Canis lupus familiaris: one gene and its partners. The protein of the gene in region 3 purifies or fractionates together with the protein of the main gene of each other region. This does not show direct contact. Links are inferred from orthologs where the notes say so. Each region holds a gene or a part of one and is shown on either strand. Other genes may lie near its edges. The genes, in order: MAP3K1, PKN3, RHOA, GLB1, ARHGEF1, DAAM1 and C4H1orf198.

Region 1 (3,528 bases), on a different chromosome or scaffold from region 3:
CACAAAAGTTTTGCTCTCGTTGAGCATCCTGTCTCCATTATAGTTTATTTGTATAATTGGCTACCATGTAGTACGGAAGACCGGATGCTTCAGTAGCTCTCTTGACGGGGGTCTGTCCTGAGGTTGAAGTTCTAAACACCGAAGAGCCACATCTCGTAAACCAGGAGACAAATGTGAGGGGATTGATGGAGCAGTCGTCGCACTTGCAATCTGTAAGAAAAACCACCAGTGTGTTTAAACTTTCCACAATAGGAGCTTCTGATCTAGAAGTACACGTGCATCCTGTACATAGAAGAACTGAAGCTGAAATTGGTGGACTTGCTTCTGACAGGGAGTCTCTGGAAAAACTCACCCACTGGATGGGAGGCTTCCTCTAAGAATCTTCAAATTTTAGGATTTCAGAATTTAATCAAACACTTCCTGAGCAGATGGATCTATGGTTTTCCTTGTCTCAAATGAACATGACTAAGTACATCAAAATGATTAGACAGGTAAAGTATTCACTTCATACTATATGCTCTCCTCATACTCTGCAGTATGATGGTTTGTCATCCTTGCTTCATCATACATGTTCTGTCATTCAGCACAGAGAGCTATTCAAAGCTACTGAGACCACACCTGGCCAGTCCGCTTAGTACATCAGAAACTCAACTGCACTGAATGGGGAAGGTATGGAAGTGTGGGAAGGACTGGGGGAGGTGCTGGGAGGTACTGAGGTACTGGTGCACTGGATTTCGAGTTACTCAGGCCCAGAGATTTTATTCCCATATTAATCCCATGAAGTAGATGCTGTAATTATACATGTTTTATAACCAAGAAAACAGAGGGCAGACGGAGTCATTTCCCGAGTCACATGGCTTTTTAAAGTTTAAAGGCTGGAACCACGGTTTGAAATCAGGTCTGTATCATTCCAGAGCCTGAGCTTTTAACTGGCACATGTCTGGATCAGAAGCTAAAAATCTAAACTACTATACTCTTCTCCACTGGAAATGGACAGAATGGATTTGAGAGTTGTCAGAAAGGTAGGACAGACGGGATTTGGTACCTGACTCGTGTAAATTTTTTAAATACAGAAAATAGTAAATCAGATTTTAAAGATTTGTGGATTGTGTCCATAAAGAGCTCTACATTTTTACATTTGAAAGTTGGATATACTTAGTACATATTTCACCTAAGAACAATGATTCATTATTCGCTAACTCATTGTTCGAAGTGACTTTATAGAGCCTAACTACTTGAAAAATGAGGACTGACTGTACATGCCACCAACATTCATCACACCGTATGAATTCCAAGAGATACATATATGCATATTTATTTCAAGGAGGATACATGCTTTGACATTAGATTGAGAGTTAAGGGGAACCCATGAAAATCTGCCTCCTGCCAATTACAGCAGAAAAAGTAATTTTTATATTATAGTTACCTTAAATATCAAAGCAAGATGATTGGAGTGTTTTTCTGCATTCCAAGGTGGTTTAGCACAAGCCATTTCTATAATAGCACAGCCAACACTCCATACATCACAGCTCCTACCATACTGCTGACCTCTCAGTACCTAAAATAGTTAATTTAGAAATATGACTCATTAACAAAAGAGAAAAATATTCTGTAGTTATGTATTCTAGGTTTTTATTTCAGACCAAAACAATGGTACAGACAGCAACTCCATGGACTACCTTGATGTCTCATTTATTTCATTAACAAGCTTAATCTCCTACGTGGCACAAAAGTACTTTGGAGAATTGTGAGATTCTGAAAAGGAGTCAGATCACAGAATATCCAAGCAGCCCCTGTGTACTTAAGTCACTGTGGGGCCAGAGGACAACCAATTATCACTACGTATAAACATGAAGAGTGTGGAACACAACTGAAGAAGCCTGATTCAGAACAGCAATACTACGTGAAATTTCTTCACTACTGTGAAGACTAGCTTCTGTGTGCTCATCTCCCTTTGGAATAGAGAGAGAGCAATTGTTAAGATTTTTAATTATGTGTACTTTGGGCATACTATAAAACAAGTAGTACAACTACCCCAAAATTCTCTGTTGGCAACGGTCTTATAAGCAAGTCTACTAAAGCCTGCTCTTTTAAAATTTTGTCAAGACAAAGATGGAACGTCAGGGATTAAGAGTCTGAAATCAAGGATATCATTAAAACCTTATTTTAGAGCCATAATCTTCTCATTGGTAAGCGCATACGGAACAACACTGCAACCTAAGTTGCTATAATTCTGTCACATGGAACGCCAGCTACTTTGCCATCACATTCACAGCTGCTTCTTACCTCAGGTGCCATAAATGCAATTGTTCCCAATAACTGTCCCTGAAACTCTCCTGCACCAGTTCCTTTTGATGCCAACCTGGCTGCAGCTCCAAAATCTGCAATTCTCAGTCTCTGACCTGTGCTGTCAATTAGCAAATTGGCACCTGTCAACAAAAAGAGCAAATGACCTTGTATGTTAAAAAGCAAAAGAATAGATTCAAAACTCAGTAAAATACTACTAATGAAATAGGACAGTAACAAAGGAAGTGGGCATGGAAGGGTTCAGAGAAATCTCCCCTCTTGATTCACTTCATTCTTCCTAAAAAGGCACACAGGTATCAACAATGTAAAAATAAAATCCAAATCTTCAGAGGGAAAGATCAAAGTAACAAGGCAAAAGGAGATCAAGGCAGACATTTAATGAAATGTTACTAAGTGTTGAAAACCTTTAATGTTCCCAACAAAAATCTTCCCTCAAAGTTAAAATTTTAGTGGTTTCCATTTTAAGACAGTTCTATTGAAACATACTCACCTAGACCAATTCAAAATAGTATAATTCCTTAATTATAACTCATAAAAGTTAATGTTATAAAATTATTTGAATACTAGTCACACATACATGTCAGAAAACCAGTTATTCTTAATAAGATAAACTGCAAAAGATCTTAAAGGATTTTTCTCAAAAGAAGCTCATGATACCCCAATTATTCTAAATAAAACTAGAAACAGGAACGGTTGGGGAGGCAGTAGTAGATCATGAGACCAAGAAATCAGAAACCTGATTTTTATACTGGTTTGCCATCAATTAGCAGTGAGACTGGAAAAATCAGTCTCTCTGAGGAAGGCAGATTTCATGACTCCAAGGTTCCTTTCACTTCTAATAATTCTAGTATTTTGAGTTACTCAGGAAAAACAATCCGATAGAGTTGATCTTAAGTTAGAAACTGCCAATAAAGGTCCAAGTTGTAAAACTCTCATTTGTTTTCTATTTATTGTTAGTAGGTAGTAATTAAAAGAATTCCTACCTTTGACATCTCTATGAATGATCTGGTTTTCATGGAGATAGGAAAGGCCACGAAGTAACTGTTCAGTATAGTTAATAACTACTGATTCCTTGAAGGCCCCGTATTTACTGAGCAAATGAGCCACAGATCCCCCTAGAAGACAAACATATAATACTAATTATCATAAACTTAAGCCAAAATTAAAACCGCTTATTACAATTTGGTTACATAAGCTTGCACCATAAGAGCGGACATTCAC
Region 2 (4,637 bases), on a different chromosome or scaffold from region 3:
CACCCGGCACAGCCATCCCGCAGTGCGGAGGGCGCAGAGAGGGGCAGTGGTGAGAGGGCGTCACGGTCTGACCTCGGCCAGGGCCTTCCGGTCTTGAGTCCGCTGGCCACCCAGTAGCTTCACCACGTTCTTGGCACCCTCGGCCACAGCAGCCTCAATATGCAGCCGATGTCTTAGCTCCTCTGCCAGCAGCTCGGGACCTGGGAGGAGGCAGTCAGCTCTGAGGCCCATGCCCTGCTCTGCCCGGCCCGGCCCGGCCGGCCGGCCCCTCCCAGCTTCTCAAAGCCTCACCTGGTTCAGGGGACCCACTGGCTTCCAGGCTGCTGATCTTCATTCGCAGTAGAGCCACCTTCAGCTGGCTGTCCCGCAGCATCTGCTGGGCAGCTGCCAGGAGCTTCCTCTCCTGTGGGGTCATGAGGTATGCCCTCGTCGCACCCAGGCCAGCCCAGGGCCTCCCTGGTCAGACCAAGGCTGAAGCCAAGCCTCCCTCATCAGCCTAGGTCTGGGGCAGAGCCTCCTCCATCAGATGAGACAGGGCTGGGGTCAAACTTCTCCAATCATGTCAGAGCCAAGCTCCCCACATCATGCTGGGAGTTGGGGCTGGGAGTGGACCTTCCCTATTAGACCCAGAACAGGGCCTGGGGTTTCCCCATTAGACTGAGTTGTGCCTTCTCTGTTAAATTAGGGGTCCAAGCCATGCCTTCCCCACCAAGCTAAGATTTGGGGCTATGGCTCCTCTATCAGACTAATAGTTGAGACAATGTCTCCCTTAATAGGTCGTTGGCTAGGTTGCATTCCCTACAGGGGCTGGGGCAGCACCTCCCCTACTAATCCGAGAGCCACATCTCTCCCCACAGACCCCGGGAGCCTTACCTTGGGCGTGCCGTTGGCATATGTATGCGTCATATTCTCTGCCCCCTGCTTCACCTTCAGTTCCACCTGCAGCTGTCTCTGGAGAGCCTCCAGGTGCCGAGCCCTGGGCTGCTCTGCAGGTGGCTGGGGTCCCGGGGCCACAGGTTCTGTGCAGTGTGGGGTACATGAAGCCCTTACCCAGAGCCAGGAGCCCCCTACTCTATGGCCTTGCTGTCTCCTCCCCTCCCCTCCTGGGCAGGGGGACACCTGAGAAGGCTATGAGATTGGTCAGGACCAAGGTTGAGAAGCTGGCTGGGTAGACCTCCCCAGCACCTCCTGTCCCCGAGGGCCCGAGGGTCCGCTCAGACTCCACACTCACCAGCCTGGCCAGGCCCAGGGCCGGGCAGCAGGATGCGTGCATGCAGCGCCCTCAGCTCTCCGTGAAGCTGCTCCAGGCGGCGATTGGAGGAGCGCAGGAGCTGCTGCACATGGCCCAGGTGGCGGCGGTCTGTGGCTACCCTCCGCAGGTTCTCTACACCCTCCTTGATTTTCAGCTCCTTCTGGATGGCACGGCGGATCGCCTCTTTCTCATCCTCCGGGGGCCGCTGGTTGGCCCCAGGCTGTGGAAGGGCAGAGCAATAATGGTCCCGTCCCCAGCCACCAGCGGCCTCAGGTGCCCACAGATGGAAGGAGAGGGAGGCACGCCCAGCAGCCAGGGTGGACACCCGGGGCTTGGGAGGCATCTCTGACTTTCCAGCTAGTATCCCCAGGCCAGATGCAAACCCCAAGACTAGGCATCCTGCCCACGCTCCTGTCCTCTGCCACTAGGGAGGAGGGAGAGGGAGAAATTGTCAACATTTACAGGCAACTCTTGAACAACATGGGTTTGAACTGCACAGGTCCACCTTATAAGCAAATTGTTTTTGATCATACAGTACAGGGCTGTAAATGTATTTTCTCTTCCTTATGATGTTCTTAATAACATTTCCCTTTTTTCTAGCTTCTTTTATTGTAAGAACACAGTATAGAATACACATAACGTACAGAGTATGTGTTAGTCCACTGTTGATGTTATCGGTAAGGCTTTTGGTCACCGGTAGGCTACTGGTAGTTAAGGTCTGGGGGAGTCAAAAGTCATACGCAGATTTGCAACTCATGGCAGGTGGGGTGTGTCAGTGCCCCAGACCCCTGGGTTGTTCAGGGTCTGTCTCAGAACTTTGCAGACACTGGTCTGTGGATCCTCACGACAATCCCATGAGGTTGGTATAGTTATGATCCCCATTTTACAAATGGGGAAGCTGAGACACAGAGAGGTTAAGCAACGTGCCCAAAGTCACAACACCGAAGAGGGGATGCCACCTTCCTTCCCCCTTGCCAGTCACGCTTAATCAGGATGCTCTCTCCAAGACTGCGATTCTGAGATTTGGGGCCAAATTTGAGGCCAGAAAAGAGGCTAGGGAACCCCCCAAGGTCACACAGAGAGGGCAGCCAGAGGCCTGAGTAGGGGCCAGGGATGTTCCCTCAGGTAGCCAAGCAGAGACACGGAGAGGGGCTGAGGAGGTCTCCCGGGGCCATTCCCAGCTCAGCTACTGGGAGGAAGCAGAGGCTTTCTCACTATTTCACCCCAGGTGGGAGCAAGAAACAGAAAAATCTCTTTCTCAGAAGCTAACATTTCAAACCAACCAGTGCCAAAGCTGACCTCTGTCCAGAGTAACCCACAATGCCCCCGACCCCAAGGGCTCCTGCGGGACTTCCACCTTACCTCTCGGCTCTCCATCTCCTGAGCCCAGTGTTAAAGGTTGTCACCCCAGTCTCAGGGCCCCCCCCTACTCCAGGCCTCTGCTGGCCTGGTAGTCAGAGGGCAGGGGCGGGGCTCAGGAAATCCTTTGAGGGCCCTAGGCCAGAGGGCCAGAGCCAAAGGCCTGAGCAAACAAAGATCCCATGGAGCAGGGGGCCTGGCCACCGGGGTCCTGAGTCACCCAGCTGCGCTGCTGGGCGGAGGTTCACAGGAAATCGGAAAATGTGCACAAGCTGCTGCTGGAACAGGCGGAGGGACCTCCGGAAGAAGGGAGTGGGAGGGGGCAGATGCAGTGCTTAGGGCTGTCTAGGCCCTTGGGGTGGGGGCACTCGAGCCTTGTGGAGGACACTCCACCCTTGAGCATACCCCCACCTCCTGTCTGCTCTGGGCGGACATACACACCTCTCCCTTGCTGCTCTACAGCTGGGACCCCACCCCATTCGCTCTGAGTAGACCTCCACCCCTCCCTCCCCAATAACAAACACACGGCTTTGGCTGCTGTGTCCACCAGCACCTACTGCCAGCACTGGCAGGATCCCAGCCTCCCTGCCATTTGGACTAGAACCCTGTGTACCCGAAGGTTCCCACCCAGGTGCTGGGCAAGGCCCTCCGGCCCGGCCAAACCCCACATGCCTTCGTGATCCGGGTAGGACCACCCCCCCAAGAGCCCAGGGACTGGTGCCCTCCTGGGCTCTCTTCTCCCTGCACACTCGGATTCCTCTCCACGCAGGACCGGCCCCAGTGCGCCCCAGCGCCCCCCTTTGCTTTCTAGGTCGATTCCCATCGGCCTTCCAGTCCTACCGGGAAGAGCTGATTTTAGGCAACTTTGGCGCCCATGCTGGTGGCCCTGACTGCTGGCCTGACCAGAGGCTCTGAGTCCCTAGGGGGTGATCTGGGGGCGTTTTCAGGGGACATGAACGACTCACCCCCGTGCTCAGGTCTGCCCTGCGAGGTGCAGCGAAGCCCGGGGCCGGGACTGAGAAGGGACCCGGGAGGGGATGCGGGTCGGACCTGGGGGTCGCGGCCGGGGCTCGGGGTGCCCGCGGCGTGCACGAGGCTCCCCGGCGCCCTGGGCCCGCGCCCGCAGCCCGGCCTCCGCGGGCGCCGTCCACCTGCCGCGGCGCCCCCTCCTCCATGGCGCCGCTCCGGCCGCTCGGCCCCTCCTCTCGCCCACTGCGGTTCCGGAAGCCCCGGCCCCTCCGCCAGGACTTTCAAACTTGAAACTTCCCGGGAAGCGGAGCCCGAGCCGCGGGATCGGGCGCCCCCTCCCGAGGCCGGCTGGCGCTCGCGGGCCCCGAGATGAGCGCCGCCTGTCGGCCGCCAGGGTCTGCGCCCGGGACCCCAGGGCTCCAGCCGACGCCCCGCTGGCTCCGGGGCCCCGCGTCCGTCCTGAGGCCGCAGTCCCCGGCCCGGGATAGAAGTGCGGGGAGGGACACCTCCCGGGCCGGGGTTCGCCAGCTGCCCAGAGGGGTCGGGGGCGACAGCGCCGCCTGCCGGCCGCCGGACACTGCCCGTGGGGCCGGCTCAGCCCCTTCCTCCGAGCCGTGCCACCACCTGGTTCCCGCCCGCAGCCTTCTCCTCGTCTTAGATCCTTGGTGACAAGTGGGTTAATCCCAAACCCGTCACCCTCACGGAGTCTTGTCCCTGTCTAGAGTCACTACTATAAGAACGTCTGCAACTGAAAGAAAGTAAAGCCTCCCCCAAACCCTCCCAAATTACAAACCATGGATGAATAAACCAAACATCTCAGGCTCCGCCACTCAACCACAGTGGAGCTTTCTGGGTCGGCCAGGGCTTCCCTTGTCCTCAAGAATCCACCCAAACAGAAGACACACACCGTAGGAAAGAACCACTATTTCAGGAAAGCCGACCAGTGGGCACCAACTGACCTGGCAGCGGCTTGCCTGTATAGGAATTCTGGTATCCTGTGCTAACTGGCACCCTGTGCCAGGACTTCACTGGAAGGAGCCTGGCCCAAGGGTCTGGA
Region 3 (4,655 bases):
TTTTTAAGATTTTATTTATTTTAGAGAGAGAGTTTGAGCGAGTCAGGGAAAGAGCAGAGGGGGAAGGAATGAGAATCTGAAGCTGACTCTGTGCTCAGCACAGAGCCTGACATGGGACTCAGTCTCACGATTGTGAGATCATGACCTGAGCCAAAACCAAGAGTTGGACTCTTAACAAACTGAGCCACCCAGTCTCCCCACTTACTTACTTACTTACTTATTTATTTATTTATTTGCACATGCAAGAGAGAAGATGAGGAGGAGGGGGAGAGGGACAAACAGACTTCTCACTGAGCAGGGAGCCTGACTCAAGGCTCTATCCCAGGACCCTGAAATCATGATCTGAGCTGAAGTCAGATGCTTAACCAACCAAGCTACCCAGGTGCTGACAAGATTTTATTTGTTGACCCCTGATCTAGATGATAAGGATTCCTTCTCCTGGTTTTCTGGAATTCCCAAAGGCCATCATACAACCCCACAGTAAATCCATGCAAGGTGCTATGCCCCAATGTGATCAGATTATTTTAGGGGTAGGAGAGATTATAGGTGATTGACATCACTGAATTTAAGAATAAAGTTTTGGGGCAACTGGCTGGCTCAGTCAGTAAAGCATGATACTCTTGCTCACACTGGGCATGAAGCCTACTTTAAAAAAAAAAAAAAAAAAATGGAGGGGATCCCTGGGTGGCTCAGCGGTTTGGCGCCTGCCTTTGGCCCAGGGCACAATCCTGGAGTCTCGGAATCAAGTCCCACGTCGGGCTCCCAGCATGGAGCCTGCTTCTCCCTCTGCCTCTCTCTCTCTATGTCTATCATAAACAAATAAAATCTTTAAAAAAAAATTATTCATGAAAGGAGGAGGCAACACAGAGGCAATTCATTTTAATTTTTGTGTCCTACACTCCCAAGGGATGGGGGACTATTGGGAGTAATAATTTCATATATTCAAATAATTATTGAGCGCCTATTTATGGAAGAAACTTCTAGATTGAGACAGAAGAGCAAATACAACAGTAAGTCCAAGAAACATAACAGTAGACCTGATAGCAAGAAATTTTACAGATAACATTCTCAGAAGTGGTTATGGGATGGGCCATGGTAGTATTCTGTTTCAGAGGATGACCATATAGGATGGTCAGCAACCTTGCTGAAAAGGTGACTTTTGGGAGAGACCTAAAGGAACTGAGAGAGGCCAAAACAGATACCCAACAAAAAAACCTTTCCAGGTAGGGAGAACAGCAGATGCAAAGTCACCAAGACAGGAAGAAGAAGGAATCTCAGTGTTGTAGCAGATCCCTGCCCAGGGATCCCTCTTTCCATATTCTAAGCAGTTCTTGCCTTTTGTTTTTTTTGTCTTGAAGTCAGAGAATAAACAGTTTACTTCTAAACTACAGCCTCAAATTACAAGCAGACTTTTTTTTTTTTTTAATTCATTCATGAGAGACAACGAGAAAGAGGCAGAGACACAGGCAGAGAGAGAAGCAGGCTCCTTGCAGGGAGCCTAATGTGGGACTGGATCCCGGGACCCCAGGATCACACCCAGCGTTCAACCGCTGAGCCACCCAGGTGTCCCAACAAGAAGACCATTTAAATGATTGTCATAGGGATACCTGGGTGGCGCAGCGGTTTAGCGCCTGCCTTTGGCCCAGGGCGCGATCCTAGAGACCCAGGATCGAATCCCACGTCGGGCTCCAGGTGCATGGAGCCTGCTTCTCCCTCTGCCTGTGTCTCTGCCTCTCTCTCTCTGTGTGTGACTATCATAAATAAATTTAAAAAAAAATTTTTTAAATAAATGATTGTCATATTAAGTACTTTGTATGCATTGATTCAAAATAGCCCTGTGTAAGGTAGGTAATACTGTTAACCTCATTTTGTAAAATCATGCCTGACACTGAGATGCCCAAGCCGTGGTTGTGGGAGGTTGAACCTGGCTACTTACACAACATGATTGATGTACATCCAACCTTTCTAAATTAGTACCATATTGGCAAGAAGTGTTTATCACTCATTTTTTAGAAGTCAGTCGAGCTGTTTGAAATACCGGTAACCTACACGATGGAGGTCATGTTAAAGGTCCATAAGCAAGGTGTAGAGAGAACATGGGGACCCTGGGCCAGCTGCAGCCCTAGAATGGAGACCCTTTCTGTAAGATATGCTCATAGTTACTAGCCAGCAGTGATGGAAATTGTCCATGAATACCTTCCCTCCTTGGGTCAGGTTGCATCATGTGGAGCCACCTTGTATTCTGGATCCTTTGTTCCTCCACAGCTTTAACTGGGCCCCACTTCACAGGAGCTGAGCTCCTTAGTGGGGACTGAGGAGAAGCTGGTGATTTTGTGCTTAATGGCAGGGGGTTAGATTTTGCCTTTTTTCTGTCGTTTTGAAACTAGTGATATTCTATCAAATGTCCAGCATACTTTAAAGTAGTTACCTTGCAGTTTAACTAGGGCTCTTGGACATTCTTCAAGATCAGAATTGTATGTAACAACAAATTTTGCTTCTTTCAGAAAACATCCCAGAAAAATGGACCCCAGAAGTCAAGCACTTCTGTCCCAACGTGCCCATCATCCTGGTTGGGAACAAGAAGGATCTTCGGAATGATGAGCACACAAGGCGGGAGCTAGCCAAGATGAAGCAGGCATGGTCTGGGGCAGGGTTCTGTTTTCCTGTAGCATTCTTAGACTCAGGGCCCAAAATTGGATGTTGAGGGGGCCCAGCAGAAACTCTCACAAGCCAGGTTATTTATTTATTTTTTAATATTTTATTTATTCATGAGAGAGACAGAGACCGAGAGAGGTAGAGACACAGGCAGAGGGAGAAGCAGGCTCCATGCAGGGAGCCTGATGTAGGACTCAATCCTGGGTCTCCAGGATCATGCCCTGGGCTGAAGACGGCGCTAAACCGCTGAGCCACCCGGGCTGCCCAAGCCAGGTTATTTAAAGAGTCCCAGAAGCCTCTCTTTCTCCATTTGTCCCTCATTCCCTGATGCCTGTTCAGAGCGTCCTTAAGATTCCCTACTTATCTGAGATGGGAACCTCTCCTGTGAGATAGCACTATGCCTCCAAGGATTGCCTGGCTGAGACAGCAGTAGTCAGTGCTCCAAATGCCCAAACTTTATCAGGCTCTGGATTTCCCTCTCCAGTTGTTACCCTGCTATAATGTGAGGCCAAGGATTAAATTGGTAGCAACCAAAGGATCAGGAAAGCTTGAGGACAAGGAGTCTAGAGAGAGCCCTGATGCCTTTATAAGTGATGATGAGGGCTTCCCCAGTGCAGGACAAGAGCCTTAATTAAGATATTCAGCCCAGGTTCTTCCACTGAAGTTTCTCTGTTTAAATGTCAAGGTCAGGATTTATTTCCTTCCATAGGCATTCAGTCCTCTCTGAAGCCAACAATTGGAAGACCCAAGTGCTTACTCTGGATTGACAGCTTGAATCATTTGCTCTTGATTTCCTCCTTAACCCGGCAGGGCTTCTCTGGCCTCTCCCTTCTGTCTACTTCTCAGAGAAGAGCCTGTTTGATAGGGATTTTATATTGGGGTAGGGAGGGTAAACTGCATATGAGTTTCATAAGACTCATCTGGGTCTGGCAGCTTTTAAAAGAAGTTTTTTAAGCTGAATTTTGAGTACTTTACACTTCATATATGTGACACTTAACTGAAAGTGCTTTTCTCTTTGCTAGGAGCCGGTGAAACCGGAAGAAGGCAGAGATATGGCAAACAGGATTGGTGCTTTTGGGTACATGGAGTGTTCAGCAAAGACCAAAGATGGAGTGAGGGAGGTTTTTGAAATGGCCACGAGAGCTGCTCTGCAAGCCAGACGTGGGAAGAAAAAATCTGGGTGCCTTGTCTTGTGAAACCCTGCTGCAAGCACAGCCCTCATGCGGTTAATTTTGAAGTGCTGTTTATTAATCTTAGTGTATGATTACTGGCCTTTTTCATTTATCTATAATTTACCTAAGATTACAAATCAAAAGTCATCTTGCTACCAGTATTTAGAAGCCAACCATGATTATTAATGATGTCCAACCCACCTGACCACCGAGGTCCTCCTGACACCGCTCTAACAGCCCTCCTCTGCACTCCCACCTGACACACCAGGCGCTAATTCAAGGAATTTCTTAACTTCTTGCTTCTTTCTAGAAAGAGAAACAGTTGGTAACTTTTGTGAATTAGGCTGTAACTACTTTATAACTAACATGTCCTGCCTGTCATCTGTCAGCTGCAAGGTACTCTGGTGAGTCCCTACTTCAGAGCTTTACTCCTTAACAGATTGTATTGGCATAGCTCTGTGATGGTCATCCAGTTTTTTGAAAATGTGCTTATCCAGAAAGGCTCAAGTCCATGCAGCTGTGGCAGAGTTACAGTTCTGTGGTTTCATGTTAGTTACCTTATAGTTACTGTGTAATTAGTGCCACTTAATGTATGTTACCAAAAAATAAATCTATCTACCCCAGACTAGATGTAGTATTTTTTGTATAATTGGATTTCCTAATACTGATATTTGTCATCCCTGCAGAAAGTGTATTGGTTTTTTTAAAAAAGAAAGTGTATTTGAAAATAAAGTCAGATGGAAAATTCATTTTTAAAATTCCCGTTTTGTCAGTTTCTCTGATAAAAGATGGCCTGTTTCTCCTGTTTTCAACGCCACATATCCCAGT
Region 4 (3,938 bases), on a different chromosome or scaffold from region 3:
ATTTACCTGCTTTTCTCCTCTTCTTCAGAGTCAAAATTCTCAAAATGAATGTTTATATTCAGGTATTCAAATTTATGTTCACAAGTTTGTTTCTTTACCTTATACTCCTTGGGAGTATATAGTACAGCCTATGGATGCTTTGCTCCACTGGCATATACTTCCTGAGGGTCCCAGTGAGCTCCTTGTTACGAAATCCAGTAGAAGAGCTTCTGTCTTTCTCACATTCATCCCCTCAGCAGTACAAATGTCGGTTTTCCTTCTCACTCTCTGCCCACCATGTTTGTACCCCTTTTCTTTTTTTTCTGTATCCTTTCTCTTCAGAGGATCTCCTCCAACCCATGTCTTCAGTGACCATCCATACACAGATGATCTTATACATATATTCCCAGCTCAGATCCATCCTCTGGCTTCTCCCTCCACAGATATCACAGCCCTCTTCCAATATCTTCTCTCAGCTATTCTCAAAGGCCTCTCAAACTCAATCTATCCAAATCCAACTCACAATCTCCCCCCTCCTAGCACATGTCTTTTTCTGACATTTCTTCTTTCAATAAATGGTACCATCTTCTCAGCCACCAAGCTGGAATGTAAGAGTCATCCAGGATATGTCCTTCTCTTTAAATCCTGATATCCAATCCATCATTACAACTCACTGATTTAACTTCACACATCTCTTAGATAGTTGATATTATCTCCATCTTGTCTACCACCATCCTAGTCTCACACTGAGACTATGGTCCAGCTGCCTAGATAGCTTCCCAAAATCCACAGGTACTCTCACCCAACCCTATTCTGCACCCTGGTATCAGAGAAGCTTGTCCCATCACAATCACATCATGGCACTCTCCCGCTTCAAAGGCTCTCAACACAAAGACAAAACTTTAATGTAGTTTAATTGGCCTAGTCCAATCTCATCTCTACCAACTTTCTAGTCTCTTCTCTGAACCACACTCCACACCTAAACCCTATGTTTGGGTCCTTTACCAGTTCCTCATGCTCCTCATTCCCCCTCTAACCACATGGCCTTTGCACATGCTATCTTCTTTGCTTGGAACATGTTTCCCTTCCCCTTTTGCCATGTTAATTCCTTTTTTTTTTGTTAATTCTTTCTTATCCTTCATATCTTTGTCAAGCATGACTCTCACAGGGAAGGCTTCCCTGATCTCCCTGACAAGGTCAAATGCCCCAATTATTATCAACTCCTGTATTTCTTCTTAGCACGTATTGCAGCTGCAGTCTTGTCATTTAATTTGGGTGATTGTATGATATGGGTCTGTCTCCCCAACTAGTGTGTAAGTTCCATGAGGGCAAGTCCCATAGCTGGTTTGGTTCATCGTTGTATCCTTAGCACCCAGCACAAAGCTTGGGTACATAGTGGCCACTGAAAAATACTTGTTGAATGAATAACTGAGTCATGGTAAGGTCACCCTGGATGAAAATAGGACTGAAGTGAAGAAGACAACGGTGAAGGAAGACATGTGAACACCTTCAAAGAATAAAGGGAGGGAGGTGACCAGGCTGTAAAATGGCCAAGGAAGAGCTGAAGATCATGGAGACAGTGGTGGATGCCCCCAGGGTGCAGGGCTGTATGAAGGTGGGGTGTTGTGGAGTGTAGGGGGAGGCATGGACAAAAGAAAAATAAGTTCTCCCAGTGATTCATCCCTTTGCTTGGACCAAATTTTCTTCAAGATAAAGAGAAAGTGTCCCTCATAATCAGTGTCCAAAGGAGCTATGGTTTTTCTTAAAGGAAGGAGGAAAGTCATCATTTTCTCAAGGAAGTTGTCAGTCAGTGAAAATGGGGCAGATGCTATACATTCAAGCTGGCCATTGCATTCCTGAAGATCTGCCATGGTTCCACTACTGAGGAATGGGTAAACTAACACAGAAAGCCCCCACTCCCAAACTGTTACACAACATCTCATTAGCAGTTCTTTTTTATTCTTTATCAGAAGCTAAAAGCAGATGTTTGAGGCCTGAATTAAAACACTTTCCATGAAGACACGTACCTTGGTCCATCCAGGAAACTGGATAAAGGTGTCCTGGGGCAAGTCTGGGATCCCACTGGGAATAGAGAAGTTCCCCATATAAAAGGCCGGGAGCGTGTAGTTAGACGAGCGGTGGGCAAAGGTTTTATCATGGCGGCCATTGTTAGGGCCATGCCAGCCTCCCAGGTGGCTGCGTACTGCATCCTCAGTGTTCAACGGGAAGATCATCCAGTTTGTGAGGATACTGGACCCAAGGGTCAGGTTAGAAATAAGGCCCTGTAAAGGAGAAACTGAGCAATGAGCTAGGGTGGGAAGTAAAAGGCTTCAAGTGTCTTTGTGTCCCTACGCTGAATTCTTGAGAAGAGCAAACCAGGACATGAAACACCAAGAGTAAATGAGACTCAAATTGTGTGTGTACAATTTGAGTCTCATTTTTGAGCCTGAGGCCAGAGCTTTTGACCCCATGCCCCCAATCTTCAGTGTTCGGTTCAGAGTCATTGCTGGATGGAAGGAATGAGTGGATTCAGGAATACAGAAGAACATTTAGCCACTGTAGGAAGGGCTGGGGGGACAGACTCTGCCCCTTCATATAACCAGGAGCATGGCCATTCCATTGGAGTGTGATTGCCCTGCCTCTGAGTGGCACCAAGAGGGTCAGGAAATAACCCCACACATGGGTTTTGTCCTAGAGAGGGGGGTACCATCAATCTTTCCATGTGGGGGCCTTCTCTCCTCTAGGTGGTGAGCTACATGGGAGAAGCCTGTACCTCAACATCTTTCCATGCCTCAAAGTGCCTTGCAGAGCATCTTGCAGAGTATGACCTTACCAAACATTTGCTGAATAATGCTCTAAAAATGTTTTCCTCAGGCAAACATTTGGGCTGGGGCTAGACACCTGGACACAGGGTAACCAGAAGGGGTAAGAGAGACCGTGTACCAAGCGAAAAGCCTATTATTCAAGACTTCGTCCTGGATTGTCCACATCCAGAAAACAGAGCCAATCAAATACTAAGCTGGCTTTGTCAGCAACAGGGTACCTTTTGAAAGCTAGGTGGGTCTTTAAAGCAAGGGAGAAGCAGGGTGCAGTAGCTTCCTCCTTCTGTTTCTTTCTACAGGGTGACTGAACCTGAACACAAGAGAAGGGTTCTCTTTGCAAAGCACAACTTTCTCATCACCTGCAGAGGAAAACAGGTCTTCAAAATAGCCCAACTTTGAAGTTGCAAAACAAATCACAGTAGGTTTACCCGCCAAACTTGGCAAAGTGTGCATGCTTTTAAAAATCGCTTCTATGTGAACAGGGCTGGAGGAGAAGAATGTATATATGAGAGTTTTTAAATGGGTTTGCAGAAACTTCCTTAGGTGGCACAGGCACGGCCCCATCAACCTTTGAACCTCACTCCTGACAGTGGGGCTGGTCCTACCTTAAAATCATTGATATATCTGCCATAGTTCACACGTCCCATGTTCTCCACCAGCAGGTCCAGAGTGGCTCCAGCCTTCCCGGTTATGTTCAGAGTGATGACATTACTTCGCTCCATGACTCCCTGGGGCACCTGTGGGGTTAGAGACCAGTGGGAATTAACTGGTGTGAGAAATGCAGCAGAACCCAGCTCCCTCAGCTGTCACACTCATTTTGCTGTCTTGAAGTGTCACTGGACTCCAGAGGCAATGCTCTGAAAGCCCCTTTGCCCAAATCACCAGCCAGGTGATCAAGTTCCTCTAAACACTGCTTCCTAAGCAGGCGACTCACCAGCTACGGCTCAGAACAAGGGAAGATCTAGGCTGGCTTCCTCTGCTTTGGGATGTTTTGCTGCACATCCATTTTTAATAGGAAAGGAATGGAGAAAATTCAAGGAAGGGATTCGATTCCTATCACAGGACCTGCTTTGTATTCTTACAGCACAAAAGGCAGTCATAAAAGGTGGCTTCTAAGCAACGTGGAGAAATGAGACA
Region 5 (3,938 bases), on a different chromosome or scaffold from region 3:
CATGGTCTGTGTGCTAAGGACTCAGCCCGGTGGGGGCAGGACTCTAATTCTCTGCTGTAAACACTTAGAACAAACCTCGGCACAGCCCCAGACTCCACGACAAAACTCCACGAGAGGCGAACGGTTTCCTAGCTGATGAGGTGAGGGGGCCACAGGAGAGATTCCAAAGCTGGGGGCCATCGGGGTCACCTCGGCCAAGCCCCTGACCCTTGTCAGGCCTGTTGCCACATCTGGCAGAGGACACGGCAGGAAGCGCCATCCCTGGGCTACGTGCCAGGCCAGTGCTCTGGGCTATGCACCAGTTGTAGGGTGTTCTTGGGTTCTTCTTCGGATGAGCTCCTTGTCCACTGAGCACCCCACTCCAGCCCGCGCAGCGGCCTCTTCCTTCCTAAGTCACCTGCTGGGCTCCCTAGACTCTGCAGGTGCTTCCGGACAGCACGGTCCTGCACCCGCCGTGGCCCAGGTAATTTCTGCCTGCTATCTGTGGGTCATGAGTTATGTTCGCTCTGCCTTGTGGGCTGCTTGCAGGCGTTTCTTGTTTCTGGGCCAGGGCCTGCCGTGCTACCTAGACCTGGGAAGGCTAGTGGCTTCCTCCCACGCACTGGCTCTGAATTAATGACTGGTGGCGGCTGCTGAGGCCACAGAGGAGATTCCACTTCCGGGACCAGTGGGAGAAGGCGCTGTCATTGACAGGTGACCCAGTCACAGGCAGGGAAGGGGGGTGGGGGGCATGTTCTCTGCCAGCTTCTGGATTCTCTGTTGCTCTCTGCCTGACCCTGCCGTGTGGACTCTCCCGTCTGCACTCCCTGCTCACTGAGATGTACGCGGGGAACCTGCAATCTTGTCAGAGGCCACATGGCTAGCATTCTGGCTCTCCATTTCTAGATCTTGCGCTGTGTGTTCTGGATCTGATTCTGGACCCTCCCTTGTCTTCAATTGTCTATGTCGCTGAGTACTGTGGCCTGACCTGACCCAACCCAACCCCTCCCTCTGCCCACCCAGCCCTGCCCTCACCAGAGGTCCTGGTTCAAACTGCAGGGCGACGTGCTGCAAGAGGGCCATGAGGTGGGCAGGCCGCCGCTTCACCTGCTCCAGGCTCTGGAACTGGCTGTTTTGCTCCTCTGTGTTCTGAGGGTGGAGATGGGGATGAGAGAGTGGGGAGCAGAGGACGGACATGGGGGTCGACCCTTCCCCTTTCTGGCAGAGGTGTCTATGCGGTCATGGTGGTGGCCAGGGCTGGTGTTAGGGAAGGTGGATGAGATTTAATGTGGTAATGGTGGGTGATGAGGACAGGCATTAGGAGACAGAGGAGGGATCTGTGCTGTAATTAAGGAGGGTGGTGATAAAAACCGAGGTTAGAGTACCCAAGGGTGGGAGTCTGTGTCATAATGGGGCATCGAGGATGAAGTAGTAGGGGATGAGGATGGTGGTATCCAGATAACAGAAAGAGGAATGGGGAAGTAAGAGGAGGCAGGAGGCAGCATCCAACATGGACCTAAGGAGGGAGGGGACACTGAGGGTGGGACTTGAGGGCTGGGACGAGGGAGACTGGGACAGAAGCTTTTCCACCCCATCTCCCCCTCACCGTCTCCAGCTCATTCTCAAAATCCTCGTCCTCAGCCCCAATGATGCTGACTGGCACCAGGCCAGGCCGCGGTGGTCCTGGTGCCTGTGGAAGAGGTGAGATGGCTTCAGCTCGGGGTGCAAACCCACCTCGCAGCCCCCCAGTCCCCTCCCCCTCCCAGGCTCTCTCCACTCACCAGCCCTCGGGCAACGTTGTCTGCTTCCATGGGCTCCACAGGGCTGGGGAAGAGGAGGGGCGATGGTTAGGGGGGGCAGGAGGCTGCGGCACAGGGAGGTTACTCACAGATTCCTGGCCCAGGTGTGAAGGTGAGTAAACAGCCTCCCCGCCAATCCCAGCCTCTGCAGCTCAATGGGGCCTCTGTGTGGCGACAAAGAGCCCTTCAGAGGCCAGTCAGGGCGGGGGAGCCCAAGGACAGGGAGCCCTGGGGGGGGGGGAGGCCCAGGAGCCTGGGTCCATAAGAGAGCTCTGGCCAGGAGAGCCTATAATTTGAGGTCCCTAATAGAGGAAGGACTGGGGGCCTGGACCCCTGGTTCTGAGGAAGGCGGAGGGAGGGGTCCTGGACTGGGGGTCTGAAGAAGGAGGGGGCTGGGGCCTAGACCCCTGGGTCTGAGGGAGGAGGGGGCTGAGGGCCTGGATCCCTGGGTCTAAGGGAGGAGGGGGCTGGGGGGCCTGGACCCCTGGGTCTGAGGGAGGAGGGGGCTGAGGGCCTGGATCCCTGGGTCTAAGGGAAGAGGGGGCTGGGGGGCCTGGACCCCTGGGTCTGAGGGAGGAGGGGGCTGAGGGCCTAGACCCCTGGGTCTGAGGGAGGAGGGGGCTGGGGGGCCTGGACCCCTGGGTCTGAGGGAGGAGGGGGCTGGGGGCCTGGATCCCTGGGTCTGAGGGAGGAGGGGGCTGGGGGGCCTGGACCCCTGGGTCTGAGGGAGGAGGGGGCTGGGGGCCTGGATCCCTGGGTCTGAGGGAGGAGGGGGCTGGGGGGCCTGGACCCCTGGGTCTGAGGGAGGAGGGGGCTGGGGGCCTGGATCCCTGGGTCTGAGGGAGGAGGGGCTGGGGCCTGAACTCCTGGGTCTGAGGGAGGAGGGCACTGTAGGATTGATCCTAGGGAGGCAGGGCCTGGAGGCTAATAGAGATGGGAAGGTTAAAGGAAAGGTAGAAAGGAGATAAGTGGGGTGTGGGGGGGCTCTCCTTAACCTGACAGGCCTGGGGCCGGATGTTGCCTCTGAACCCACCAGCCCCACTTCCTGTGACAGGAAATCTAATGGCAAATCCCCCAACCCCCAACCTTCTCCACATAAGAAAACAAAAATCTGAACCTCCTTTCCCCAGACCCTAAGTTACCTCGGGGACCTGGTATCTTCCCCACCTTCCAATCCCAGAAAGCAAGGGACAGTCCTCAGCTAGCTCAGCCCCAGGTGTGTCTGCCCCCCTCACCCTGTATCCATCTGTCCCGCCAGCTCTCTGGCTGGCCGTCCCTTGAATATGCTTCAGGTCTTTGCCTCTCTTCTCCGTCTCCCCCCTCTCCCTCCCTTCAGACCAGTCTCACTTTCCCACCATCTCTGCTTCCCCTCCCCCTTAGCCACCTCGCCCTAACCCTGCTTCTGTAAGTATCTTTCCCCTCAGCCGGTGTCTCTGCCTGTCTTCTTCCCACATCTGGTTCTGCGGCCACCTCTCTGAGTCCTTGTGAGTCACTGTGTCACGTGCTGTCTCTCATCTCTCTCGCTCTCCCATCTCTTGCTGGTTTTCCCATTTTGTCTCCCTTAGAGTCTCTGCTTCCCCCTGCATCTTCCCACCACCATCTTCTGTATCCTTAATTAGTCTGACTAATGCCACTCGAGCCCGTGTCAGGCGGGAAGGAGCTGTGGAGTTGGGGTGGGGTGGACGAGTGGGGTGGGGGAGCTCCCCCACAGTCCAAAGCTATTTATAACCCTGGTCACTGGAGACTCACCCTCCTGCCTCCTCCAGAGGCCTCCTCCCTAACACTCAATAAATGGTGGCTACAATTTTGATTACGATCATGAAACAATGATGCTTTCTGGAGTGTCCAAGTGTCATCCCACGGGTTCCCCAGAGCACACCACATTTTTATTCTCTTCCATACAGTGTATCTGTCCAACTTTGAGTGTGGGTAATTTAAGATTTGAGCACTGTTAAATCTTCACGTGAATAAACTTGCAAACCAACACACAAAAAAAAAATAGCAAAGTGATTATTTATTATAAAAGCTAAACTTAACTAGCACATTGTGCTAGGCATTGCCCCCAGTGCTTCTCACATATGAACTCACTTAAAGCTCACAACCAGAAGCACCCATGCAATTAGTATTCTCGTAATCCCTTTCGAGGTGGAAAACCTTTAC
Region 6 (3,938 bases), on a different chromosome or scaffold from region 3:
TGATTTTTATTTCTGTTGCCTTAAATGATACTGATATATTTCTTTGGAGCTTTAACCCTCCTAATTGTGAAGTCAAATTTAGGTTTTAGTTAACATTTAGTTAATACTGGTACTATTAACTTGAAAAAATTAGATAAAATCACCCTTTGATGACTTGTGGCCCTGAAAGGAAGTGAGAGATTGGATCATTGAGACACATAGATAAGAGCCAAACTTTCTTTTTCCCCTTCAATGCCCTAGTCTGTTTCCCAGCCATGCATTTTTATCAGAATTGTTAACAGGTAAGAAGGCTGAAATTAGAAAAGCACACATTCAGAATAAGATGAAGGCAAGAGACCAGTGGTTCCATGGGTGGAGGCACCTGAGGCCATTAAGACTTAAGGATCCTTTTAATCCAACTAGGTGATCTTGGGCTCAAAGGAATGGGAAAGATCTTTTCACAAATATAAACTTTACTAGCATCCAGGACTGTACTGTCAACTGAGATCTACTTCCTTAGAGCCTTGTTCTTCAAATTGAGGTCTATAGACCTGCAGCATCAGGGCTGCATGGAAACTAGAAATGCAGCATCTTGGGCTTTACTCAGGACCTACCAAATCAGAACTCTTATTTTAACAAGATCCCCAGCTTATTCGTGTCCATATTAAAGTTTGGGAAGTGCTGCTCAACAGATCCCTGGGTGGGGAGGGTGTAAGCACCCCACTCCCTCCCTCACACACACTCTGTAGCCTAATTTCCAAATGATGTTGAATCATTTCTAAAAGTGTTTACTCTGAAGGAATTGTCCTTCTTCGTATCATGTCCGATTTGATTGTTCCTCTTAAGTAATTGATGGAACAAAAAGTGTAAAAGATTCTACTTTTCGGCTTGAGGATGACACAAACCGCCTGGATTTGATAGTGTTGTTAATGTTATTAGCTTTAGTTGCCAGAATACTGTATTTAACTGCAGAGCCAATCCTCTTTCTATCAAATATAGATAGTAATATTTTCACCAGAACTATAGTTGGACAAGTTAATCTCTACTGAAAATTTCTAAACATTTCTTAAAACTTTATCTAAAATTTGAAAGAACTTTTAGTAGAGATTACAAATCTGGAATTCTTAGTACTTTTGCTCTGTATTTTGGTTTTATAGTAATCCTAGTCATAGATTTATTGTTTTTTTTATATATATTAAAAGTAATAATAGCATGTAATCTGTGGACTTGTCTTGCTTATACCCTAATTGAATCATAGAATTTGAAGAGGTAACTTCAGTTTTCTTTGCGTAGAGAAAATCTCTCCTGGCTTTAGAGAAGGAAGAGGAAGAAGAGAGAAGTAAAACTATAGAGAGTTTGAAGACAGCACTAAGGACAAAACCAATGAGGTAATTCTTTCTTGGGTAACATACTACTTGTCTTTTTTTCCTTCTTCTTCTGTCCTTTCTTTCTCCCTTCTCTCTTACCCTACTTTCTTCTTTTTTTCTGCAATAGGAATTCTTAGATTAAAAGCATTCAACTGAACCATGGATGGAATACTTTTAATCATTGAACATTCAATAAATTGATTTTCTTCAATTAAAAGATATGCACACAGCTGTTAAGATGGCTAAAATTAAAAAAAAAAACAGACTAGAAAGTTTTGGTGCTGATGTAGAGAAATTGCAACCCTCATACATTGCTGGAAATAATGTAAAGTGGTGCAGCCACTTCAGGAAACAGTTGGACAGTTTCCTTAGAATGTTGAACATAATGTTGGCATATCACCTGACAATTCTACTCATTGGTATATAGCCAAGGTAACAGGAATGTTCATGTTAACAGTGTCCATAATGGCTGAAAAGTAGAAACAACCCAAATTCTGTCAGCTGATGAAGGGATCAACAGAATGTGATATATCCATACAATGAATTATTATTCAGCCCTAAAAAGGAATAGACTGTTGATAAATGCTGCAACATGGAAGAGCCTGAAAAATACTTATGCAAAGTGAAAGAAGCCAGATTTTAATGTTTAAAGAAAGACAACATATGGCATGATTCCATTTATATGAAATATCCAGAGAAGGCCACTCTGTACAGACAGAAAGATTAGTGGTTGCTTATGGTTGGGGAGAGGAGGGAAATAGTCTTTTGGGATGTTTTAGAGTGTTCTGAAATCAGATGCTGTCCGTGGTTGCCCAGCTCTGTGGATATCACTGAAATGTACATTTGAAAGTATGAATTTCATGGCATGTGAATTATATCTCAATAAAACTGTTCCTAAAAAAGGGGGGGGTGCAGTCAGCCTCCACCATGTGTCTCCTATACCTTCATTTCCCATTGATTAGTCTTCAAGGTTTGGTGGGATGTTGGGGTGCTTATACGTATATTTCATTAACATAGGAGCTATGAATGAAGCCAACTGTTTCCACCAGTGGGGCTATATCTGGGTCCTGTGACTACATGAAATGGCTGGAAAATAAAGATTTCCTTTTCTTTATTTGACTATAAGATGCTAACTAAGAAAAATCTATTGATTTATCAAAATTTCTATGCAGTTGTATGACAGGTTTTGTAGCCAATCCTAACTACATCAGTATTTCCCTATTTGTGTTGTTTTGCATTCTCAGATGTTGATAGGTATCTAAGACTAAGTAGGTTTGGAAATTTCTGGAATAGTCATATAAACAAGTTCTGTTACTTCTGAAATTTTCAGAGCTTCACGTATATTTGTGCATTGTGAATTATTCTCATTGGTCAGCTTCACAGTAAATAAAGTGTCCTAGATATCAATTAACGTGCAGTAACAAAGGCTTGCTTTTGTTTTGTTTTAGCAGTTTATTATTTAGTTTTTTAAGTACACTTCAGGCCCATCATGAGGCTTAAAATCAAGAGTCATGTTCTCTATGGACTAATCCAGCCAGGCACCCTTTATTTGTTTTATATATAGGGATTCCAGTAGCATATCATACAAAAGAAGAGTTTTGCTACAAAATGTTAGCAATATAGATTATCATTTGTTTGACAGACAAATATCCTGGAGCTTAAGGATGCTCTTTGACTTGCATTGATATGGGTCAACAGTTAATGTAAAGGTGATTAGAGGCTGGTGTTAAAATGACACAGGATCAGCAGATAACCTTTTTTTTTTTTTTTAATTTAAAGATTTTATTTTTTGAGAGAGAGCATGAGCAGGAGGGAAGTCGTTGGGAGAGGCAGAGGGAGAAGGAGAAGCAGACTCCCCACTGAGCAGAGAGCCTGACATAGAGTTGGATACCAGGACCCAGAGATGATGACCTGAACTGAAGGCAGATGCTTAAGTGACTGAGCTACCCAGGTGCCCCTGAATCAGCAGATGACTTTAACTTAAGACACATATTCTGAGTGTGTTCTGGTTCCTGATTTACTGTGGCTGTATAATTGTTCATTGGTTCTTTGTATCAGTTGAGATCTGTTTATTTCAAATAGAGATTATTTCACATTTCTGGTAGACCTGACCATTGGGTTTGTGCTGAGGAAGAGGTCAGGAATTAAGAAGACTTCATCAATGTAGCTCTTTGGTACTACAAGAACTACATACCTCTTCCTTTCTCCTGCCATTGCAAAACTTTTCCAAGGGCTATTAGAAAATTCCAAAGGGACCTAAGTCTGATACATTTTAATGTTCTTCTCCTGCCAGGTTTGTAACCAGATTCATCGACTTGGATGGCCTGTCATGTATTCTCAACTTTCTAAAGACCATGGACTACGAGACCTCAGAGTCTCGAATACATACCTCTCTCATTGGATGTATAAAGGCACTAATGAACAACTCTCAAGGTCGGGCTCATGTCCTGGCTCACTCTGAGAGTATTAATGTGATTGCTCAGAGTCTGAGCACAGAGAACATTAAAACAAAGGTGGCCGTGCTGGAAATCTTGGGCGCCGTGTGCCTGGTTCCCGGGGGCCACAAGAAGGTTCTGCAGGCCATGCTGCACT
Region 7 (4,692 bases), on a different chromosome or scaffold from region 3:
GTCCAGCAGCGTAGCCGGGTAGACCAGTCCTCCCCTTATCCATCGCCTCCTGTGTCCAGGAGCCAGCCATCCTCCATGAACAGCGCTGGGCATGACACAACCAACTATGCTGGTGTCAACCTCTTGCCAGGTTTGGGGAAATGCGTTTTAAACTCCCTAGTGCTGGGGCACCTGGGTGGCTCAGTGGTTGAGCATCTGCCTTTGGCTCAGGTGGAGATCCCGAGGTCCTGGGATCGAGTCCTGCATCAGGCTATCCGCAGATAGCCTGCTTTTCCCCCTGCCTATGTCTCTGCTTCTCTCTGTGTGTCTCTCATGAATAAATAAAATCTTTAAAAAACAAAACAAAAAAACCCTCCCTAGCGCCATTAATGCACACGGCCACTGTAAGCAAAAACAGACCCCAGGCAACGTTCCTAAGTACCTCTCCTGAAATTCAGCCGCCCCGTAGCTGTCCACCATCTCTGCTCAAGTTGGTCAGAGGCATTCCAGGGCACCCTCTCGGGCGTTTTGTAAAACTGAGTTGGAGTCCAAAAAACAGGAGGGTTGGCTCCTGGAAGGGCATGCCGTTACCACAGTGAGGAGTTCCATTTGCTTTTAAATCACACTGGGTTTACAAATTCAGAAACAGCTCAGTCTGGCACCCAGTTACGGAATTTGAGTACAAAATTCACTTGGCCACATCTTTCCTTATCAGTGATACTGAGCCCTTATATGGCAAGAGCTTTTTGATGCTGAGCAGGCATGTGGATATTCTTAGCTGGACACAAGCTAAGGAAAAATGACAGTCACTCTCCAACATCTGTAAGTACTTACAGGTTTACTTCCTCTCCTATTTATTTACTCATGACTTTTCCAAAGAGGGGCCGCTTGCTTTTTCATCCCCAAATCTGAGCACAAACACTGCAAATGTCTTTATACAGATATGGATTTTTCACACTGAAAATGTTTGGGCTCTTAAATACATTCTGAACCTATATTTTCATCCCTCCGGCTTACCACACCCTTGTTTTTCCTGGCAAAGCCTTCAGAGTTTCAAGTCCAATGGAGTGGAGACTTTTCTTTGAGTTCTGTCAGAATAAGGCAATGCTGGCAGCATACTTCTCTCCTTCACACACCCATTATATTTAAGTGGGTTTACGACCACAAACATTTTGTATTGATAAATGTCTCAACACACCCAAGCCTGAAAATTAGCTTTAAAATTCAGAATTAACTAGAATCCCTTTCACAATCCACAACGCCCTGGGGAAACATCGCCAAGCTCCAGCTCCCCTCCTGCAGGCTCCCAGCCTTCAGAGTGTGGGTTTCATGGGTCTACTTCATTTTTATACTTCTTGCTCCTTTCCAGGTTGCCCTTCATGGTAAAAGTTTAGCGTGAAAGGCCAGATTCTAATGGCACCAAATGGGTTTTAGGGAAACAAAAAAACAGAAAGAAAAAGATCAAGTTTCTGAGCAGCAGTGAACACTCAGTCCTTTGTGACTTAGAAGAGGGCATCCCAGAGTTTTTTCTTGTATAGCTCTAGCTTTTCTCTCCTCTAGAAGTGTGGGCTCGGCGTCTAGACCAGAGACCCAGGGATGTCCTTATATGTGGCAAAGGCTTGGTGGCGCCCATTTAAGCTCACCCCTTCGTGTTTTGATAGAACAACAGGTCTCCATGCTCACCTCCACACCAGGTGAGCACATCACATCGTGCTCACCTGGAAAACCTCTTACGTTTGGCCTCCTAACCCGGGAAGGCACCTCTCCCTTCTCTTTACCTTGCTTGACAACTTCACTCGCCCCATACAACTCATCACAAATACTATGATTAACATATGTAATTTCCTGACTGCCTTCCCTGACAGGCAGGGGGCCAGTTTACACCAGGACGGGGGAGGGGCGGGGAGAGAAGCTGAGGTTAAGTCACGGTGGAGCGTCTGCCTTGGGCTCGGGGCGTGACCCCCGGGGTCCGGGATCGAGTCCCGCATCAGCTCCCCGCGGGGAGCCTGCTTCTCCCTCTGCCTGTGTCTGCCTCTCTCTCTCTCTCTCTCATGAATAAATAAACAAAATCTTTAAGAAAAAAAAAGTCACCGATGGCCATAGAGCTAAGGAGCAGAGTGGATTGGAACTCCGGCTTGGCTGGCTTAAAATCCCTTGCAGTTCCCGGGGCCCGCCTCGCCTTCGGCTGCGGGGGAACTGCCTGGCCCGGCGCGGCCCCGCGGAGCGCTGTGGGGCCGGCTCTTGACAGACCTCCGCGCCGCGACTCTCCCCTCCGTCCGGGGAGCCCCCCCCCGCGCCCCGCGCCGGCGGCCCCGGGACGCACCTCCCCCGCCAGCCACTTCCATCCCGCGCCTTCCCCTCCGCAGCCCCCACCCCGCGGGCGGCGGCGGCGGCGGCGGCGGCGGCGGCGGCGGCGGCGGCGCTCGGGCGGGGGCACCGGCCGGGCCGCTGGGGGCGCGGGGAGCCCAGAGCCCCCGGCCGCGCCCGCACCCACCTCGTCCCCGAAGCGCACCACCTTCTGGCCCGTGGGCCCGCGCAGGCCGGGGAAGCGCGCCAGCTCCTCGGAGTCCCCCGGGTCCCCGGGGCCGCGCGGCGCGGGGGCGCCCGGCCCCACCAGGCACCGGTCGATGATCTCGTCTTGCTGCGCGGGCGGCAGCCGCGCCCACTCGGGCCCGTACTTCTCGCGGATCTTCTCCTTGTCCTGCATGATCTTCCTGGCCATGGGGCTCAGCGACGAGAAGTAGGTGAAGCGCTTCCGCTCCCGGTCGTCCAGAGGCCGGTTCCCGCTCATGACCGCCGAGCGCGAGGCCGCGATAGCCGCCGCCATCGACGCCATGCCCGGCCGCCCGCCGCTCCCCCCGCGCCCCTCCCCGCGCCGCGCCCCTCCCCGCGCCGCCCCCGCAGCCCGGAGCCCCGCCCCCGCCCCCGCCCCGCCCCCGGGGCGCGGCGCCCTCCCGCCCCCAGCCCCGCCCCCGCGCCCGCTAGTCCCGGGAACCCCGCGCCCCACGGCCCCGGGGCTCGCCCTTCGCGCCGGCACCCCCGGGAGCCCCGCGGCCCTCACCCCGGGTACCGCGCCCTCCTGGAGCCCCTCCCCCGGAGCCCCGCCCCTCCCGGGCCCGCCCCTCCTGGAGCCCCTCCCCCGGAGCCCCGTCCCCGGGCCCGCCCCCTCCCGGAGCCCCGCCCCTCCTGGAGCCCCGTCCCCGGGCCCGCCCCCTCCCGGAGCCCCGCCCCCGGAACCCCTCCCGGGAGCCCCGCCCCTCCCGGAGCCCCGCCCCCAGGCCCGCCCCGCCCCTCCCGGGGCCCCGCCCCCTCCCGGGCCTGCCCCCCCCGGAGACTCGCCGCCACGCCCCTCTCTCGCGTGCTCGGCGCCCTGGGGCTTTCCCGCCCCGCCCGGTCTCCAGGGCTCCCCTCGGGCGGCCCGGGGGGCGGCCGCGCCCCGGGTCGGCTCCCGGCGGTCTGACGGGGTCGCTGCTGGGGACCGTAGAGCCACGTGGTCCCTTGTGGGACAAAGGAAACTTTGGTCGGTGCGGTTCGCCTAGGACAGCCGGTTCCGGGCCCGGGCCGCCCGCCGCCCGCCGCCGCCGCGCTCCCTGATGGCCCGTCTCCTCCGCCTTCGTGGAGCGCAGCCGGGCCGGGCCGGGGCGGGGCGGGGCGGGGCCGGGGCGCGCCGAGCGACAGACGAGGGCTGGGCACCGGGCAGCCGGGGCCGGGGGACGAGCTGGGCCAGCGCCGGCCGCGTCCGAGGAGGATTCGTTCCCGCTCCTCCCGGGGAGACGGAGGAATGAGATGAAGTCGCGGGGCCGCGGGGCGGGCTGGGGCACACCGGGGCGGGCTCCCCAAGCCGCCGCGTGGTCTTGCGCTTCCTCCCAGACCAACAAAGTGACAGGATTTGCTTTGGAATCTCAAAAATCACAAGAACTCTCAGCAGCTCGTTATTTGCAAACAAACTCAAGGGGGGCTGAAAGTTCTGGTAGGCAGAGAAACCACACCCCAACAATAGTGGGGCCAGGTTCGTCACCTTGAGCTGTGTCCCAGACCACAAAAGTGGGGACAAAGCCCTTCATTTGCTTTCCTATCAGGCTGTTTTGAACAACACTGTAACAGGTCTCAGATGAGAATGTCCACTCTTAGAACAAAACGTTTGCATTTCAGCTTTTACTTAGGGTCTTTGCCTCTAAAGTAACAGACAATTCGGAACACAGTCCTAGAAATAACTTGTTTTACGTGTGAGATAGCCTTTCATATTCTGGCCCAGAAATCCTAAGAAAATATTTTGGGGATGCCATGAATGTGGCAAGATCTACAAGAAAAGATACTGCTCTCGATAATGTTATCAGCATAATATATTGAAGCAGTGGGAAAAGCCACCAGATAATAGCCTGGGTTGCATAGTATGAAGGACAATTTATGAAGCCACCAGGTTGAGAAGAGTTTGATATTATTATTCTCTATTTAAATCGATGCTTATGTATATGCTCGGTACACTAACCTGAATGCACAGTACCTTACCTGTCTTGTTTACTGCTGGGAACGAGAATGCCTTTCAAAGTAAGTGCTCAGTGACTCTTTGTAGATTGAATCGTGAATAAATAAATGAATGTTACACCGTTTGCATTATTATCACTCTAATCCTGTTTTTGTAATAGGTATGGGTCATGTTTAAAGATATTTTCTGGAAATTTAACTAACATTCCCTAGCTTGCTTTGAAATTC

What was found.
Region 1: the proteins of RHOA (region 3) and MAP3K1 purify together in Homo sapiens (affinity purification with western blotting; 4 studies listed by BioGRID). This does not show direct contact. The link is inferred for Canis lupus familiaris from reciprocal best matches to the Homo sapiens genes RHOA and MAP3K1.
Region 2: the proteins of RHOA (region 3) and PKN3 purify together in Homo sapiens (affinity purification with mass spectrometry; 3 studies listed by BioGRID and IntAct, counting the BioPlex papers as one, with this or other methods). This does not show direct contact. The link is inferred for Canis lupus familiaris from reciprocal best matches to the Homo sapiens genes RHOA and PKN3.
Region 4: the proteins of RHOA (region 3) and GLB1 purify together in Homo sapiens (co-immunoprecipitation; 3 studies listed by BioGRID and IntAct, counting the BioPlex papers as one, with this or other methods). This does not show direct contact. The link is inferred for Canis lupus familiaris from reciprocal best matches to the Homo sapiens genes RHOA and GLB1.
Region 5: the proteins of RHOA (region 3) and ARHGEF1 purify together in Homo sapiens (affinity purification with mass spectrometry; 3 studies listed by BioGRID and IntAct, counting the BioPlex papers as one, with this or other methods). This does not show direct contact. The link is inferred for Canis lupus familiaris from reciprocal best matches to the Homo sapiens genes RHOA and ARHGEF1.
Region 6: the proteins of RHOA (region 3) and DAAM1 purify together in Homo sapiens (co-immunoprecipitation; 6 studies listed by BioGRID and IntAct, counting the BioPlex papers as one, with this or other methods). This does not show direct contact. The link is inferred for Canis lupus familiaris from reciprocal best matches to the Homo sapiens genes RHOA and DAAM1.
Region 7: the proteins of RHOA (region 3) and C4H1orf198 purify together in Homo sapiens (co-immunoprecipitation; 3 studies listed by BioGRID and IntAct, with this or other methods). This does not show direct contact. The link is inferred for Canis lupus familiaris from reciprocal best matches to the Homo sapiens genes RHOA and C1orf198.

Annotation. Positions count from the first base shown.
Region 1 is NC_049223.1:43,173,090-43,176,617, reverse strand, and holds part of MAP3K1 (mitogen-activated protein kinase kinase kinase 1), read right to left. Parts: intron 3,423-3,528; coding exon 3,291-3,422; intron 2,430-3,290; coding exon 2,287-2,429; intron 1,559-2,286; coding exon 1,427-1,558; intron 1,023-1,426; exon of another isoform or gene 915-1,022; intron 670-914; exon of another isoform or gene 585-669; intron 211-584; coding exon 61-210; 3' UTR 1-60. UniProt on the Homo sapiens protein: Component of a protein kinase signal transduction cascade. Activates the ERK and JNK kinase pathways by phosphorylation of MAP2K1 and MAP2K4. May phosphorylate the MAPK8/JNK1 kinase.
Region 2 is NC_049230.1:54,975,395-54,980,031, forward strand, and holds the start of PKN3 (serine/threonine-protein kinase N3), read right to left. Parts: upstream 2,973-4,637; 5' UTR 2,630-2,972; coding exon 2,615-2,629; intron 1,473-2,614; coding exon 1,232-1,472; intron 1,020-1,231; coding exon 874-1,019; intron 404-873; coding exon 292-403; intron 201-291; coding exon 73-200; intron 1-72.
Region 3 is NC_049241.1:40,290,214-40,294,868, forward strand, and holds the end of RHOA (transforming protein RhoA), read left to right. Parts: intron 1-2,504; coding exon 2,505-2,635; intron 2,636-3,677; coding exon 3,678-3,851; 3' UTR 3,852-4,054; downstream 4,055-4,655. UniProt on the Homo sapiens protein: Small GTPase which cycles between an active GTP-bound and an inactive GDP-bound state.
Region 4 is NC_049244.1:3,990,068-3,994,005, reverse strand, and holds part of GLB1 (beta-galactosidase precursor), read right to left. Parts: intron 3,539-3,938; coding exon 3,407-3,538; intron 3,220-3,406; exon of another isoform or gene 3,101-3,219; intron 2,262-3,100; coding exon 2,007-2,261; intron 1-2,006.
Region 5 is NC_049222.1:113,143,237-113,147,174, forward strand, and holds part of ARHGEF1 (rho guanine nucleotide exchange factor 1), read right to left. Parts: intron 1,943-3,938; exon of another isoform or gene 1,804-1,942; 5' UTR 1,791-1,803; coding exon 1,761-1,790; intron 1,670-1,760; coding exon 1,586-1,669; intron 1,129-1,585; coding exon 1,015-1,128; intron 1-1,014. UniProt on the Homo sapiens protein: Seems to play a role in the regulation of RhoA GTPase by guanine nucleotide-binding alpha-12 (GNA12) and alpha-13 (GNA13) subunits. Acts as a GTPase-activating protein (GAP) for GNA12 and GNA13, and as guanine nucleotide exchange factor (GEF) for RhoA GTPase.
Region 6 is NC_049229.1:34,879,233-34,883,170, forward strand, and holds part of DAAM1 (disheveled-associated activator of morphogenesis 1), read left to right. Parts: intron 1-1,272; coding exon 1,273-1,367; intron 1,368-3,639; coding exon 3,640-3,938. UniProt on the Homo sapiens protein: Binds to disheveled (Dvl) and Rho, and mediates Wnt-induced Dvl-Rho complex formation. May play a role as a scaffolding protein to recruit Rho-GDP and Rho-GEF, thereby enhancing Rho-GTP formation. Can direct nucleation and elongation of new actin filaments.
Region 7 is NC_049225.1:8,910,417-8,915,108, reverse strand, and holds the start of C4H1orf198 (uncharacterized protein C1orf198 homolog), read right to left. Parts: upstream 2,847-4,692; 5' UTR 2,816-2,846; coding exon 2,474-2,815; intron 1-2,473.